2 linked regions of the Xenopus tropicalis genome follow. The protein of the gene in region 2 purifies or fractionates together with the protein of the main gene of each other region. This does not show direct contact. Links are inferred from orthologs where the notes say so. Each region holds a gene or a part of one and is shown on either strand. Other genes may lie near its edges. The genes, in order: larp7 and ccnt1.

Evidence for each region.
Region 1: the proteins of ccnt1 (region 2) and larp7 purify together in Homo sapiens (affinity purification with mass spectrometry; 10 studies listed by BioGRID and IntAct, with this or other methods). This does not show direct contact. The link is inferred for Xenopus tropicalis from reciprocal best matches to the Homo sapiens genes CCNT1 and LARP7.

The regions. Positions count from the first base shown.
Region 1 is NC_030677.2:68,966,309-68,973,469, reverse strand, and holds the start of larp7 (la-related protein 7), read right to left. Parts: upstream 4,459-7,161; 5' UTR 4,409-4,458; intron 943-4,408; 5' UTR 938-942; coding exon 730-937; intron 1-729. Other genes in the region: protein ZGRF1, read left to right, coding at 7,065-7,085. UniProt on the Homo sapiens protein: RNA-binding protein that specifically binds distinct small nuclear RNA (snRNAs) and regulates their processing and function.
Region 2 is NC_030678.2:135,689,658-135,696,883, reverse strand, and holds the start of ccnt1 (cyclin-T1), read left to right. Parts: upstream 1-2,870; 5' UTR 2,871-2,896; coding exon 2,897-3,042; intron 3,043-5,431; coding exon 5,432-5,513; intron 5,514-6,077; coding exon 6,078-6,206; intron 6,207-7,226. UniProt on the Homo sapiens protein: Regulatory subunit of the cyclin-dependent kinase pair (CDK9/cyclin-T1) complex, also called positive transcription elongation factor B (P-TEFb), which facilitates the transition from abortive to productive elongation by phosphorylating the CTD (C-terminal domain) of the large subunit of RNA polymerase II (RNA Pol II).

The sequences.
Region 1 (7,161 bases), on a different chromosome or scaffold from region 2:
AGATCGGCGGCGCTGGGGGACCGGATCGGGAGTATGTCTTCATTCGCTCGTTGCCTAGGGGGTTGTGCAGGCTTTACAAGCGCTGCACTGCTTTAAAAGCGAGCGCAGCGCTTGTAAACCCGTTAGTGCTGTAGGACGTAGATTCTACGTTCTATGGCACTTTGGTCCCTTGGTACCTAGGACGTAGAATCTACGTCCTATGGCTATAAAAAGGTTAAAGTACATGAAATCCACAAACATTGCAATTGCTTGACAAGCGCTTATGTCAGCATTTGACAGGCAATAGTTCCTGAAAAAAAGCCACTGACATTATCCTAAATGGATAGCCATACTTTGGAGCATGTTTTGGTGATATGTATTTGTATAGTGGACTTTTCATGGCCTATTGTTGTTTCACTTCAACAGTTAATACATGTTTAAGCATTACACTTTATTGAAATCTTTATTGTGAGGAATGCAGATCACTGTTATACATGTGTGTTGACTTTATATGAAATTGACTCATGTATGTAGGATGGCTTTTTATGAAGAAATAAAAGCTCATTTTTAAATATGTTAAGGAGCTCCAGTGCTTCAGGAAGGTTTTCTATCTCCTATCCTATAGATGTTGTTTGGGGACACTACAGCATGTAGTAGCACTTAGGAATATGATTTTAGCTACTTATACCAAAGTGTAAGAGTAAAGTGATATGGCACAAAAAGGAAACAGGAATAACACAAAGTACTCACAGCCATCTCTGGTCTTCTCAATCTGTTCCCTCAGAAATCGATCCTTGTGCAGATTGACATCACCAAACCAGAAATCCACTTGCTTAGCAATGTCAGCAAGCAACTGCTTTACTCGTGACCGTTTCTTTTTTTCACGGTCTTTTCTCAAATCAGTACTCTCATCTTCTTTGACTTTATTGCTTGGGGTGTCAGTTTCAATCGCAGTCATCTTCTCTAAACACGGGAAAAAAAATAAAGTAATTGCATATTTAAAGGATTGTAGGGAACCTCAACATGCTGAATGATAATGTGACTTCATTATAATTAGCACAAAACTAATATTAAAAAGGTGCTATACTGATAAAGTAGCAAAATTCCTCTTTTTATATTTGCCAAGAAGTGTGGTAAGACTAACATCAAACGGAACAACATATGGCTTGCTGTGCAATATATAAATAGCCTGCACACATGAGTACATTTAAAAATGTAGAATGGAATACAAAGTTTGAAGCTAAACATTAAGCTAAACCAGTATCACATAGGCAGTTACACCGAGTCATTTTGCATTTGGCCTTTTTCTATGATCTGTGACCATTTGCTTGTCTAGTCTTCCCATTTCCAGTCTCACGCTTAAAATGATAAAATTATTTGGTTACTGGGTTCACTGACCAAACAACACCCACTTGAATATTGTGATAAAATGCTACTATGCCAGTAGTGTCACTTTAATGGAAAATAAAAGCTACATATAAGCAAGGTTTAACTTCAGTGTAACAGAATATTCAGAAAATACTCTCTCTGATTAACTGGATATCAGCATAAGAATTGAAGCACACCATTTTGCTTGTTATAACAGAAAATTCACATAGGCTAGGACAACAACAATCATTGTATATAGGACCCCTAGTGGTGATTTAGGAATAAGACAAATGCATATGTCTCTGAACATAATGAATTGTGTAGATATACAGGTATCTTCATAGACTGCATTAGGCTGCTGGTACAGTTTCAAGTCATTCACATTGACAGCAATGCTTTTCAGGAAAGTGTCACAGACTGTCAGCATGGAGTAAATGCCTGTGGAATTGCTAACTGTGGTGTCAGCACACTACAAAGTGTTGATTTGTAAAACTCTGTCAATGGATTATATATGAGAGTGCAAGCAATAGAGTAGCTCACAATTATAGGAATTAAAACAGATTAAAATAGATGTGTTTTTTTCTATATATGCTATTCCTCCAGTTTGTGACTCCATTAAAGGCAAAATAAATAGAAGGCAAGAAGTGAAATGTAATAAAAAAAAATGTATACCTTTGCACAAACAAATTTTCTTTGTGTGAATTTAATATAGCTTTTATGAACTCAAAAACTGCTCAGTGACCACTTCCACCAGTGAAGAAAGACTGCAAATATTGTCATTTGTAGTAGAGTCCTGCAGCAAGTCAGTATTAATGGTTATCCACAAAAAAAAGCAGTATTCTGCAGGTTGGATTTTCAGACACAGGGACAGGTTACTATTCTAGATTGCGTATCTTATATTATCTTTTATCTATTATGTTTTACTCTAAACATGTTTTACCCCTTCCCATTCTGATGATGTTGCTTCTGGTTTGCAGCAACAGCACTTTGGATTGGGTTGTGGATAAGGCAGTTGCAGGTCGGATTGAATGGCAGGTCCAAGAAGGTTAAAATGTGGGTTTGGGTTGCAGGTCCAGGTCTCAAAACTTGGTTCTGTGCAGGACTCTAGTTTGCACCAGTGCGCAATGTATACAATAAGACTCCTTACTGAAAAAGTTATTTTTGCTCCAAAAGATTACACCACCTTTAGGCATGCCTTTAAAGTGTGCTATGCACAATTAAGGTTTGCAATGCGATAACGGTCTAATGAAGACTATTACATTGTGAAACGTGAGTTTTTATTTTTATTTGTTCCTCAAACACTGCTAAGAAACAAAACATATTTACTTGAATCAAGTCTCTTTACTTCATTGAAACTAATATCAGTCTGATACTATGCTCCTCCCTGCTCAATAAAGGCCTTGCATTGTGTGCAGATTTGCTTCAGTGCATATTGAAATTAGATTTACATGTTAAGTAGAATGGTCAAAGTGCAAAATGAACTTGAATGACATCCACTGTGTGACTGGGGCTGTTTCCTGCTTGATTTACCAGAAAACTAAAAGCAGCAGAAAGTGGATGCTACAAGCAGCAAGTCTGACATCACTTTGAAGGATCTCCTGAAACATAGTTTTTAACTGTGCACCATCATGAATTGTTCACAGGTAGTTTGCTGTCAAAGGTACAATGGTTTGAACTTCTAATAGAATGAAGTGAAAAATATTTTTATTGTCACACAGACCTTGTTTACTTTGTATATACAATAATAAATAACTTTAGCTAGGAATATTTTCTTTTTCAAGAGAGAAGCCAATCAAATATTGCAACATTAATTTTGTTCTCCAAGAGTTATCCACCGTCTACTTCTCTTCAAAATCTAAAGGACATATACTGTGCAACTGGAATTAGACTCGCCAGAGATCATTCTTGACAAGGCATTCTGGATATTTAGAAAAGTTACAAATTAAAAACACGTCATCAAAACATATTTTTGGTGGTTCTCATCCCTCTTAGTTTTACAAATTAACAGATCTGAAATTTGTAGGTTAATAGTTGCTATTAAGGTGGCTATACACGTAGCAATAACGATCTTACGTGCAGGAAAGATCGTTCCCACCCTCCACTGATGTTCAGTGCTGAATTGTCAGATATGGAGGTAGAAACAATAGAAATTCTACCTCCTCCTGCCCTAAATGTAGATTTTGCTTGGGCACCTTCAGTGGCATGATAAATATACCCCTTGGTGTACTCCAGTCTTTAGAGGTTCTCATTTTAAACATTCCCATCAGTGGCGGTGTACATATTTACCATGGTTTATCTAAGAAATACTGCTATATGTAGACTGCACCTGTACAGTTTGTATGGCTGCCATAACTTTGCAGGTAAAAATTATAATTCATAGCAATGTGTTAAGTAAGAAAGACTGAAACAGTATGGGTAAGGCCATTCTTAAAGAAAATATCATCCATATATTTTTTAAAAAGTGTTCTTGCACAATGACAGAAAATGCAATTGCAGGCAAATTTCCAACATATATCAAGTTTTTTTTTTATGTAATTACAATTGAAAGCAGTATTTCTTTAATCCTCTTTTGTTCTCTGATTATACATTTATAACTCTGTAGCCGTCATTTCTTCTCCAGGGGGTATATTTATCATGCTGTGTAAAAAGTGGAGTAAAGGATTACCAGTGATGTTGCCCAGGGCAACCAATCAGCAATTAGATTTCAACTATTATAAAACCAAAGCATCTGACTGGCTGCTATGAGCAACATCACTGGTAATGGTTTACTCCACTTTTTACACAGCATGATAAATATACCCCTAGGTCTATTATAATCAGCTCACTTTTGCTACTCAGTGAGAATTGTTAATAAATGGACAAGAAAAAGTTGTTTAGAATGACATTTTCATACATTATGCACAAAACAATGTTTGGTTGGAGGACCCAGTGAATGTGGGGCGCCCAGCCTACACTTTATCCTATTGCTAACCCATGTGCACCAAGTAACCCCAACAATCGCTTATTTCACGATAGCAGCATTGCCAACAATATAGAGAACAAGCACACGCCACTACATTACCAGCTCCGGATAACTTCGCATGTCATTCGGGATTTAGGTATAGAAACACGCAGTGGATGAGCTTCACGTCATCAGCCGAGCGACACATAAAATTTCCAGATCAACCAATCAAGATGCAGCGCTTTAGAGGCTGCCCCGTAGCTGCCTGCATCACCATGGAAACGAACCGGCGTCCAAGGTATGGGATAGGGTTCAGGAAGTTCGTGGGTGCTTGTAAGAGCAGTTGGCAATGACTGTGACAAAAAGTACAATTTACAACCATCAAAACAAAGACTGCAAAAAATATTAAAACAAATACACGTTAGTGGCTTTGGCGCATTTTTATGACGTCAGAAAAAGCGCGATTTGTTCGAAAGAACAAGGTGGGAGATGGAATGTTTATGTTTCTGATGACGGCTGGTAAGGCAGACAGAGGAAGAAGCGGTGGTAATATGTTTTGCGTTCCCAAAGATGTCAACAAACCCCGTGATAATGATATTGGATATGTCAAAAACCTTAATTCCTCTTAACTAGGAATAGTAACTTGAGAGAACCTGTTCAGTCTAACTTAAGCCTGATTTAATCTCTCTAGCATGGCTGCCTGTTAAGCAAAGGATAGCTTACAAAATCCTTCTGCTAACATTCAAAGCCCTTCACTCCTCTGCTCCTCACTACATTTCTTCACTGGTCTCCCTGCATATTCCTGGTCATCTCCTCCGCTCCTCTCAGAGCCTCTGTCTTTTTACACCATCCACACCCACTGCGCTCTCTCGTCTTAAACCTTTCTATCTCGCTGCTCCTTACCTCTGGAACTCTATCCCTGAATCCCTCCATAGGAAACACTCACTCTCTTTAAGATAAAACTATCTTCTGGAGCACTAAAACATGATTTTGCCTAGTTCTGCGCTTAAGGGCAAATGCCCATACCTGGTGCACTCTTACCTTCCAATTTGTGCCTGTATGTTACCCAACCACTTAGATTGTAAGCTCTACGGGGCAGGGACCTCCTTCCTACTGTGTCTATTGTATTTATTTTAACACTTGTCCTCCCTGTGTGTAATTTTGTATATTATAAGATTATACAGCGCTACATATCATTGTAGAGCTTTATAAAAAAAGTTATACATACATACCTTGAAGTAAGGTGTCAAAATGCCAGTGGGTAGGATGGTGCAGGATTAACAAATTAGTCTTGGGCTCTTTTGTTTGTTTCCTTCCGGGGCACATTGGGCTTGGAGTTTGTATGTTCTCTCCTTGCTTACATGGGTTTCTTCCCACATTCCAAACACCTTCAGACAGGGTAACTGGGTCCTGGCAACATTGCTGGTGCGTTTGTAAATGTGATAGGGATATCAAACTGTAAGTTCCACTGGGAATGTGACTGATCTAAATAATTTTTCATTTCTGTACAGCGCTGTATAAATCATATCTATATGTCAACACTGTATAAATCAGAAGAAGAATAATAGTGTAAATTTTGTTGTGGAGAAACAAAAAAGTTAAAAGTGAGAAAAACTACTGTGGGGGGTCACAGACTTTTAGCCACCTGTAGGCAGAACAATAAAATTTAACATTTGATTGGTTGTTGTGGGTTATTGCCCAGGTGTAAATGTGGCCACTTTTCAGAAGTAAGTCCCTAAGTGAGGAAAAATGGTTCTGTGAGCAGAGACAGATTATCATGGTTTCCATTCAATGTGTAATCAGATATGTCTGTGTAAAAAAAAAAAAATACAATCCTGGAAGTTCAGATATTGTTTATGTACCTTTTCTATATAAGCCCAACAGAATGTATTTAGCTCTTATATTGGTTATTAGTTGTTTTTGTGTGTTAAATTTATACACCCTATAATTGTACAACAGTGCAGAATTTGTTGGCATTTTATAAATACATGTTAATATCAATAATTAGTGCCAACTGTTTACATATGCTAAGAATAGACACACTGAAAATGGTATAGGAGCCATCTTGTGGAAGTTTTGGTAAGTGCAAATAGGATTGTAACAGTTTACCCTTAATAAAATCCTATTCCCACTTACATATTCATAAAGAAAACAGTAACACGCATTAACACATTTGGGCTGATTTACAACAAAAGTAGAGGTCACCCTTAAATACATGCAGTCACTCCTTATACATCCCTATAGTTAGTTTGCATAGCACCCATGTGTCCATCCTGCCTCTTTTCCTGAACCATGTACAAATTCAGTTGATGCAGGGGAACCCTGGACTTACTGCTACTTTAAAGTTGGGGAAATTTTAAAAGTTTCCACTGTGGCCTGCATCAATATGCACAGTGGATTTCTGCCTAAAGAATCTTGTACAGATTTGATCATTTTTATGCTGAGTGCTGGAAATTATATAATGCCTAATATTTAACCTGATTGGATTTGAATCACAAATGCAAGTGTTATTGCATTAGGATTGTGGGGGAAAATAAACACCACATTGTGATTAAAAAACCCCACAGCAAACTCCATCCAAAATTGCTTACTCCTCTTGTGTATGTAAATGACCCTAATTGTGGCAAGCATAAGAACATTCTAAAGAAATTGCATCAGACAACTTTTAATGCTATCCATGTTCAATAGAATATGATTTGTGAGCTAACAAAATTGCTGTCTTCATATGATTGTAGGTGCTTCAAATACTTAAAAAAAACAGCTCTGAGATACAAACATGGCTGCTCAGGCATTTATCGTAAGTATGTTTTATGGGTTTTTTTTAATTGAGTACATGGTATTTTCAGAATAATTCATTTCTGGATTTTCTTTTA
Region 2 (7,226 bases):
GGTCAGTTTTATTCAATCCATGAAACAACTACATACCTTCCAACAAAATACCACTCCCATTTTAATACATTTGGCAGGTTATGTAAAGTTTGAACACATTTCTGGAGGTTCTGGGATTTTGTGGGATGTGTTTTTACAGTTTTGTTAATGAAGATGAAGGGCTTTCCACCAGCGACTCCTATTGTTGCCAGTGGAAAGCCTTTTGGGAGTAGTTGGACTGGGGGGTGCAGGACCCCCCCAGCCCTTCCCCCCCAACCCCCTGCAGGGGCCACCCCACTGACGTCCTCCCCTGAGCAGGCTTAAATGAATCATGCCAGTGAGGATATTGGCAGCCAGGGGAAACAGCAACAGGGATCGGGTCTGGGACGTTTTTTCCCGGTGGCCTGGCAGCCCAGTCCGACCCTGCCCAAAGCCACTAAGTGGGTTCTTACCCATAAGCAGCTAGTTCTCCCAAGAGACCTGTTTATCTTACTAGTTACAAATGTATCTAAATGCAGGTGTTGACTGTTGAGTATTCTGGGCTCTCTGCCAAAAGCAACTTATCAAATTAAGTTTCAGAAACTTTGTATCTTTTTAGGCATTCAGTGCAGGAGATCAAAGGAAAATGAAGAACTTTTCAAAATGGATCCAGGACTGTAGGCTGAGCTGTTAGGTATGCAACTAATGTTTTACAGAATTTAATGACCTTGGGCCACAGATTTCAGATATAGAGGCACAGGCAGGGATTCCCTTCATTTTATGCATATGCTTCCCCAGGGTCATACTGTGCAAAAAAAAACATGTCCTGGCACTTGTGGCGCCAAGGATCCAGACCCAATCCCTGCTGGCGTACCCCACTGACATCCCTCCCCCAGTCACACTGAAGTTAAGTATAATGTAAGCACACTCGGGGGAGGGGGTTGGGTGGGCATTAGGGGCTCCTGGGGTTTGTGGGGGCCCCTAGGATGGCAGTCCTGGTGGGCCCTGCACACCCTAGTCCAACTTTGTACTTACAGCTGGGCCTGAAATGAACAAGAAACATGAAAGTGGTATTAGTTTCTTATTTAGGCCAGTGAATAAGTAAGTGTTAATTGACTTTGGGCCTGATTTCCAAATATCTATGTACAGGCAGGGATGCCCAGCATAGTATCCAGCTCGTTCCAGCCTTGCCCAGAATAATTCAAGACATGAAAAGTGTCATCAAAGTGGGCATCTTTGCAATTCTGGCTGTTTGACTAAGTAACAGGTATGGGAGAGGTTAAATGACCGTAGACAGTGGATTTCAAAATAAATATGTGCAAGCACGGATGCCACACATATATGGTCTAGCCTGGCCCGAAATGGCTCTGGGCATAAAAAGTGGAGTCAAAGTGGGCATCTTTTTAATTCTGCCTGCTGAATGAGAGAATGGGGTGTAGGAAAGTATTTCTATAGCACCACTTAATGGACCAGGAAACCCACATACACTGGAAACCTGTGAGCCCATGTGACCCTTCAAGATCATTTTATGACTATTCTAAACATAATTTCAGTTGGTTCATTATATATTTTTGATAGTTTTTGAAATATTTAACTTCTTCAAAAACTATTGCTTGAAGAGACTACATTTTTATTGTTGCTTTTTATCATTTGTTTTTCTATTCAGGTCTTCTCCTATTCATGAATACTCAGTGACCATATTATGGCTGAATTTCCGCGAAATACAAACCCCAAGGTGCAGAGATGCCAACTTCTTAACATGCATTGCTGGGGGCATTGGCGGATTTGGAGTGAGGGAGAGAAGGGTCCAAAAAAGGGTAACTCTGGGGTCTGGGGCATCAGAGATGACAGGTATGGAGATGCAGGGACTGTCCTACAAAAATGGGCCATTAGGAGTAATGCTTTTGTGACACTTTGCTCATTTATCTACACATTTGCACATGGGCAGTTAGCATGGAGACTAGGGTTGCCAACTTTTCTACAAAAAAAAAAAAAACCTTCCTATATTTTTATCTTTTTGTCCTATTAATAACATTAGCATCAAGTATAATTTTTTAACCAGGCTCATAAAGGCTATGCTTTATTTGTTTATTTGTCTCTGGCTTAAAGGAACAGTAACTTCAAAAAATGAAAGCGGTTTAAAGTAATTAAAATATAATGTGCTGTTGCTCTGCAAAAAACTGGTGTTTTTGCTACAGAAAAGCTACTATATAAATAAGCTGCTGTGTAGCCATGGGGGCAGCCATTCAAGCTGGAAAAAAGGCACAAGTTACATAGCAGATAACTAGTAGATAAGCCCCATATAATGGGGGTTTATCTGTTATCTGCTAAGTAACCTGTGCCTTTTCTCCTTTGAATGGTTGCCCCCATGGCTACACAGCAGCTAACTTATATAAATAGTGTTCCTGAGGCAAACACACCAGTTGTACCAGTGCAGGGCAACACTACATTATATTGTAATTACTTTTATACACTTTCATTTTTTGGTATTACTGTTCCTTTAAAAAAATCTATTCACTGATTGGTCGCTATGGGTTACTGCCCAGGTGGAAATTTTCCCAGTCTTGATAAATAACCCCAACTAAATTCTCCTGTAGAGTGAAAGTGAATTCAATAATAAAATTATTGGCGCTTTAGACTCACCTATAACTATGTATTCTTTTATTTTCAAGCGCCCTTCCTTTTATATTTTTTTTTTCTTTGTACCCAAGAAAACATATGGGAGACTTAGTGCATTTAACATGGCTTTTGCATTGTTATAATACATTCAAACCAAGAAGCAATTGTTTTTTAGGCCGTCATTATTCGAACTCCATAAACACCCGAAAAATAACACCTACGTCCGACTACGCATGCACCACGGCCACTACGCTACTCACGCAAACGCGCTCTGACGTCATTCCGTTTGCCATGCGTGCTCCTCCTCGCCCGCACAGTCATGGCGCCATTGAGCCGCTGGTATTTTACCCGGGAGCAGCTAGAACGCAGTCCGTCCCGGCGAGCTGGACTGGACGCCGATAAGGAGCTCTCGTATCGGCAGCAGGCGGCAAACCTCCTGCAAGATATGGGCCAGCGGCTCAACGTGTATCCTTCCCCAGCCCGCAGCGCCGGCCTGGGCGAAAGGGAGGCCTAGAATACATGGGCTTCGTGTTACATGAGGGAGATAAACTAAGGCCCTAGTGTGTGCTCTTTCGGCCAACAGCGTTACCGTAGAATAAGTACTAGTAGGGCGGGAGCAATGCTTTAGCCCCCTGTTTGTGTGTGGGCTCCGCATGTGGCACATTATATAACTAGCCCTACGGACAGGGATTGGCGGGGAGGAGTTATTAGTTGTGGTCGGTCCTGAGCCTAATGGCTGTCACTTGTACAGCTTTACATCATCTTGCTTTTTATACACTTAATATTGTTATTAAATCAATCCCTTGCTGGAGGGGTGAATAATTGAAGTTATCGAGCAGAGTGTGTGGACTTGTCTTTTTTAAATCTTACCAACTGAATAGATGTTGAAGAGAATGTCACGGTGCATATTATGTGCAGTGTTACACCGAGGCTAACCTAGTTCTATAGAAATGCAAGTGAAAGGGCGCTTTTGTTTTAGGAAGGGACTAGAGAGTGTCACAAGTACAAGGAATCGTATTACTTCACACAAGCGCAAGAAGTAAATGGTATATTGTAAACAAACCGTATTAATGTTGATACAAAACCCATTTGTTCACCTGATGTTTTTATTAGCCATAACTTTTTGTATTTGATGACTAGGGTTGGTTTAATAACATATTGTAATTTGCGTATAAGCAGTTACCGATGGCAACTGATCAGGTCTTTGCTTTTCTATCTTGCAGTAAACTCTGTCTTCCACTCTGTTCCGCCTGGTGCACAGGACTTATAGAGACTTCAGCACTCTCCACCACGTTCCAAGTAGCACAAAAATACCAGCATTGAAAATCAGCAGGGGTTATCCCGCTTAAAGTCCCGTTGTGCCGGTATTTTTGTGCTTTTAGAACCTGCATTTGTTCAGTTTACCTCCCATATTTGTAAATCAGAGCCCATATATTTTAAATAGAGGTAAATCACTAAACCCTATTAATGAAACAGTAACATAAAAATATGTTAATGGTTTCACCCCAAAACTATTACAGTAATAGGCAAAGCTTACTCCACCTTGGATTTTTGGAAAACTTCAGCTAGAATTTTACATAATGCTTCATAGCAGCAGGGTGACGAGCAACTTGCTTTCCCTTGTTCGGTGAAATGGAAGTTAGTTTAGCACTGGAGGACTTTCAGCACTTAGCTTTTTTTTATCAGTGTCTGCAGTTTAAATTTATATTTTTATTCCTTTGAACAACTTTGGAGGTTAATGTTGTGAGCATAAATTTAAACTGCAGATGCTGAAGGACCTCCTGTGCAAAGCTGTCTTTTGGTTCAGCTCACACAGATGCCTGTTGCCATGCTGCTATGGAGCATTTTGTGGAAGTAAACTTTAGCAGTATTGGGGTAAATTAAGTACTAACATATTTTTGTGTTACTGGTCCTTTACAAAGCATTTAAATGCAAAAGCCTTGGTTCCTAAAAGTCCTGTAAAAACACACCATTTAAGAATATGTTGTTACCTTTTTGGGGCGTGTGCTTTGACATTAAAAACATGAGTGTCTTCTGAGAGTACAAGGCACCCTCAAAAATCTCAGTCAAATAAAACTGGGGTCTGCAATGTGTTGTGTATTTAATTCAATAAAGCATATTTTGTGGTGTGTCCTGTGTTCTTGAAGAGATTACATGTTTTTGTGTCAGCACAGAGATGTAAAGTATCTACCTCCATAACATTGTATTGCTTTATAATTAACTGATCACCTCTTTCTGCATGTGTGTCCAGCTTCTGGCTATCTAGATCCTCTTAAACTAAAACTTCACAGCTAAAAGCTGGGATATTTGGGAGTTATACATTTACAGAATACAAAGGTCCCTAGTTTAAACATTCCTAATTTAAAATGCAGTGAAAATAAAGAAGTAAATGCAAAAGACTTAGTATTGTGTTTTGCTGTCTTATTTACTGCAGGCGTTTTAATTATTAAAAAAAAAAAATGCAGAGTTCAGTTTAAATATAGTCAAAGGTAGAAGTTTCCATCAGGTGAGTTAGTATAAACTGGGCCTGTTCTATTTATATAAGTGCTAATTATACCACCGTAGTTTAATTATAAGATTGAATAACATTTAAAAAGATTGATCATGGTTGCTGTTGGTAAAAGGACTGGTACAATTTAACAACCTCAAATTTAGTGGCCTCAATGTAAAGAATATTTAATGTAAAACCATATAATAATTTTAATATAAATTCAATTTATGTTAGAAAATGGTCAACAGTTTGTTTTTACCTGTTCACAAAGTTAATATTTCTGTCAAGGTGTTGTGCTTTATTTTTCCCACATAGGTAGGGGTGAATATGAAAATCTTATTTTCCTTAGCTTTACTTGTACAGATCACAGCTGACCATAAATACAGCTATTGTATATGTGCATCGTTTCTATATGGTTCAATCTTTCACTCGATTCCACCGTAACGTAAGTGTAAACTTAATTGTGCGTATACTTGTTTTGCTAAATTATCCTTTTGTTAAGCAAACGTGTGTTGCGCAACTTACTCCCCATGAAAAATTACATATCATTAAAACAATATACATTATCACAATTACATAAGCTATTGTAATTAGTTATTGCCTGGAGTTTATAAACAGAATGGAATGCTTTTGCAGATTAGTTGAATTTATCATCAGCGTGTACAATAGTAAACTGACCTGTTCACCAGTGTATCCTAAGCATTATGGAAAGGGTTTATACAGTACCTATAGTGATATCTTGTTTATATAGAAAGAGGAAATATTTTTATAATGATTGTTATTCATTATTCTGGCTTAGTGATCTGTTCAAAACACCTTAGCAATTAAAAAGACACACTTTTGTAGTTGTAAGAAAATAACTGCATCTACAAAAAAAAACTAAACAACGGGGCAGCTGTTGTGTTCATATGTATCCTATACATTTGACTGAACTGGTCTACTGGAAATGTATGAAAACACAGAATTTTAGTGGATGCATGTATTTATACTGTCATTTTGTACTTTGCAGTCTGTGGGACCAGCTGCACTCTTCTTGGCAGCAAAGGTAGAAGAGCAGCCTCGGAAATTGGAGCATGTAATCAGGGTGGCACACGCATGCTTGAGCCCGTTAGAACCTGCACCTGATACCCGAAGTGAGGTAGGTTGTTTTACAAAAATATTAGAAAGTGCCCTAGCACTGTTGGTGTATTTTAATTAGGGATGCACGGAATACATGGTCCTGGCCGAACCAAATCCTAAAAAAAGTCACGTGACTTTTTATCATGTAAATATGGAAGTTGAACATTTTTCCAAAATTGTCCAACATTTAACCCTTCCAAAACCTAATTAGCACATGCTTTTTAGGATTTGGGGGTTTGGCCAAATCCAAAAAAGTGGATTCCGTTCATCCCTAATTTTAATTCATCTTTATTGTTTTACCAACAGTACAAGACAGAGTGATTTTGCTACTTTGGGGTTTTTCTACCTCCAAATACCAATACAGGATCTGAGGTATTGTAGGTGTGTTAACGGAATAGTTTAGGAACCTTTGTGCTGTGTGGGAATCATTTGGCCGAAACTTATCAGAATATCTAAATTAATAACTCCCAACTAATAAACATTTAAACTATGAGTACAAATGAATTAGGCCAGCAAATCTAAATTTTAGTTCTCTTTGATCTTATTTCCCATATGGGGTCCAAGAGTGTTGAATTCTCTTAGCTGAATTTAAAGATGATAATTTTAATAGTTCAGGTGAATTACTAACCTGTTTGACTATGTACATTTCTGGAGGATTTGGAATCCCTCAAGTCCTGAAACTGGGGATTCTGTGTACTCCTGGCAAAATTATGTTATAAAAAAAAAAAAAACACATTAACCTTCCTATGTACAAAATAGGATTGCATACACAGTGTCTTAACATTTAAAAAGGTTGCGCAAACCTATGCTTATGGTTCTGTTGGCACTTCTCCTGGATTTAAAATTAGCAGGAAAGCTCTTCCATGGGATCTTAACTTATATGTATAACAAAGTTCCTCTGTAGACAATGCAGGAGCTATGATATATGTAGTGTGATTTTTTTTTGCAAATTATGTGACCAAATATGAGGTTTACATAATAAATAAATTGTATATAACACACCAGATTTATACAGCAAGAATCTGGTAGCTGCATTTTT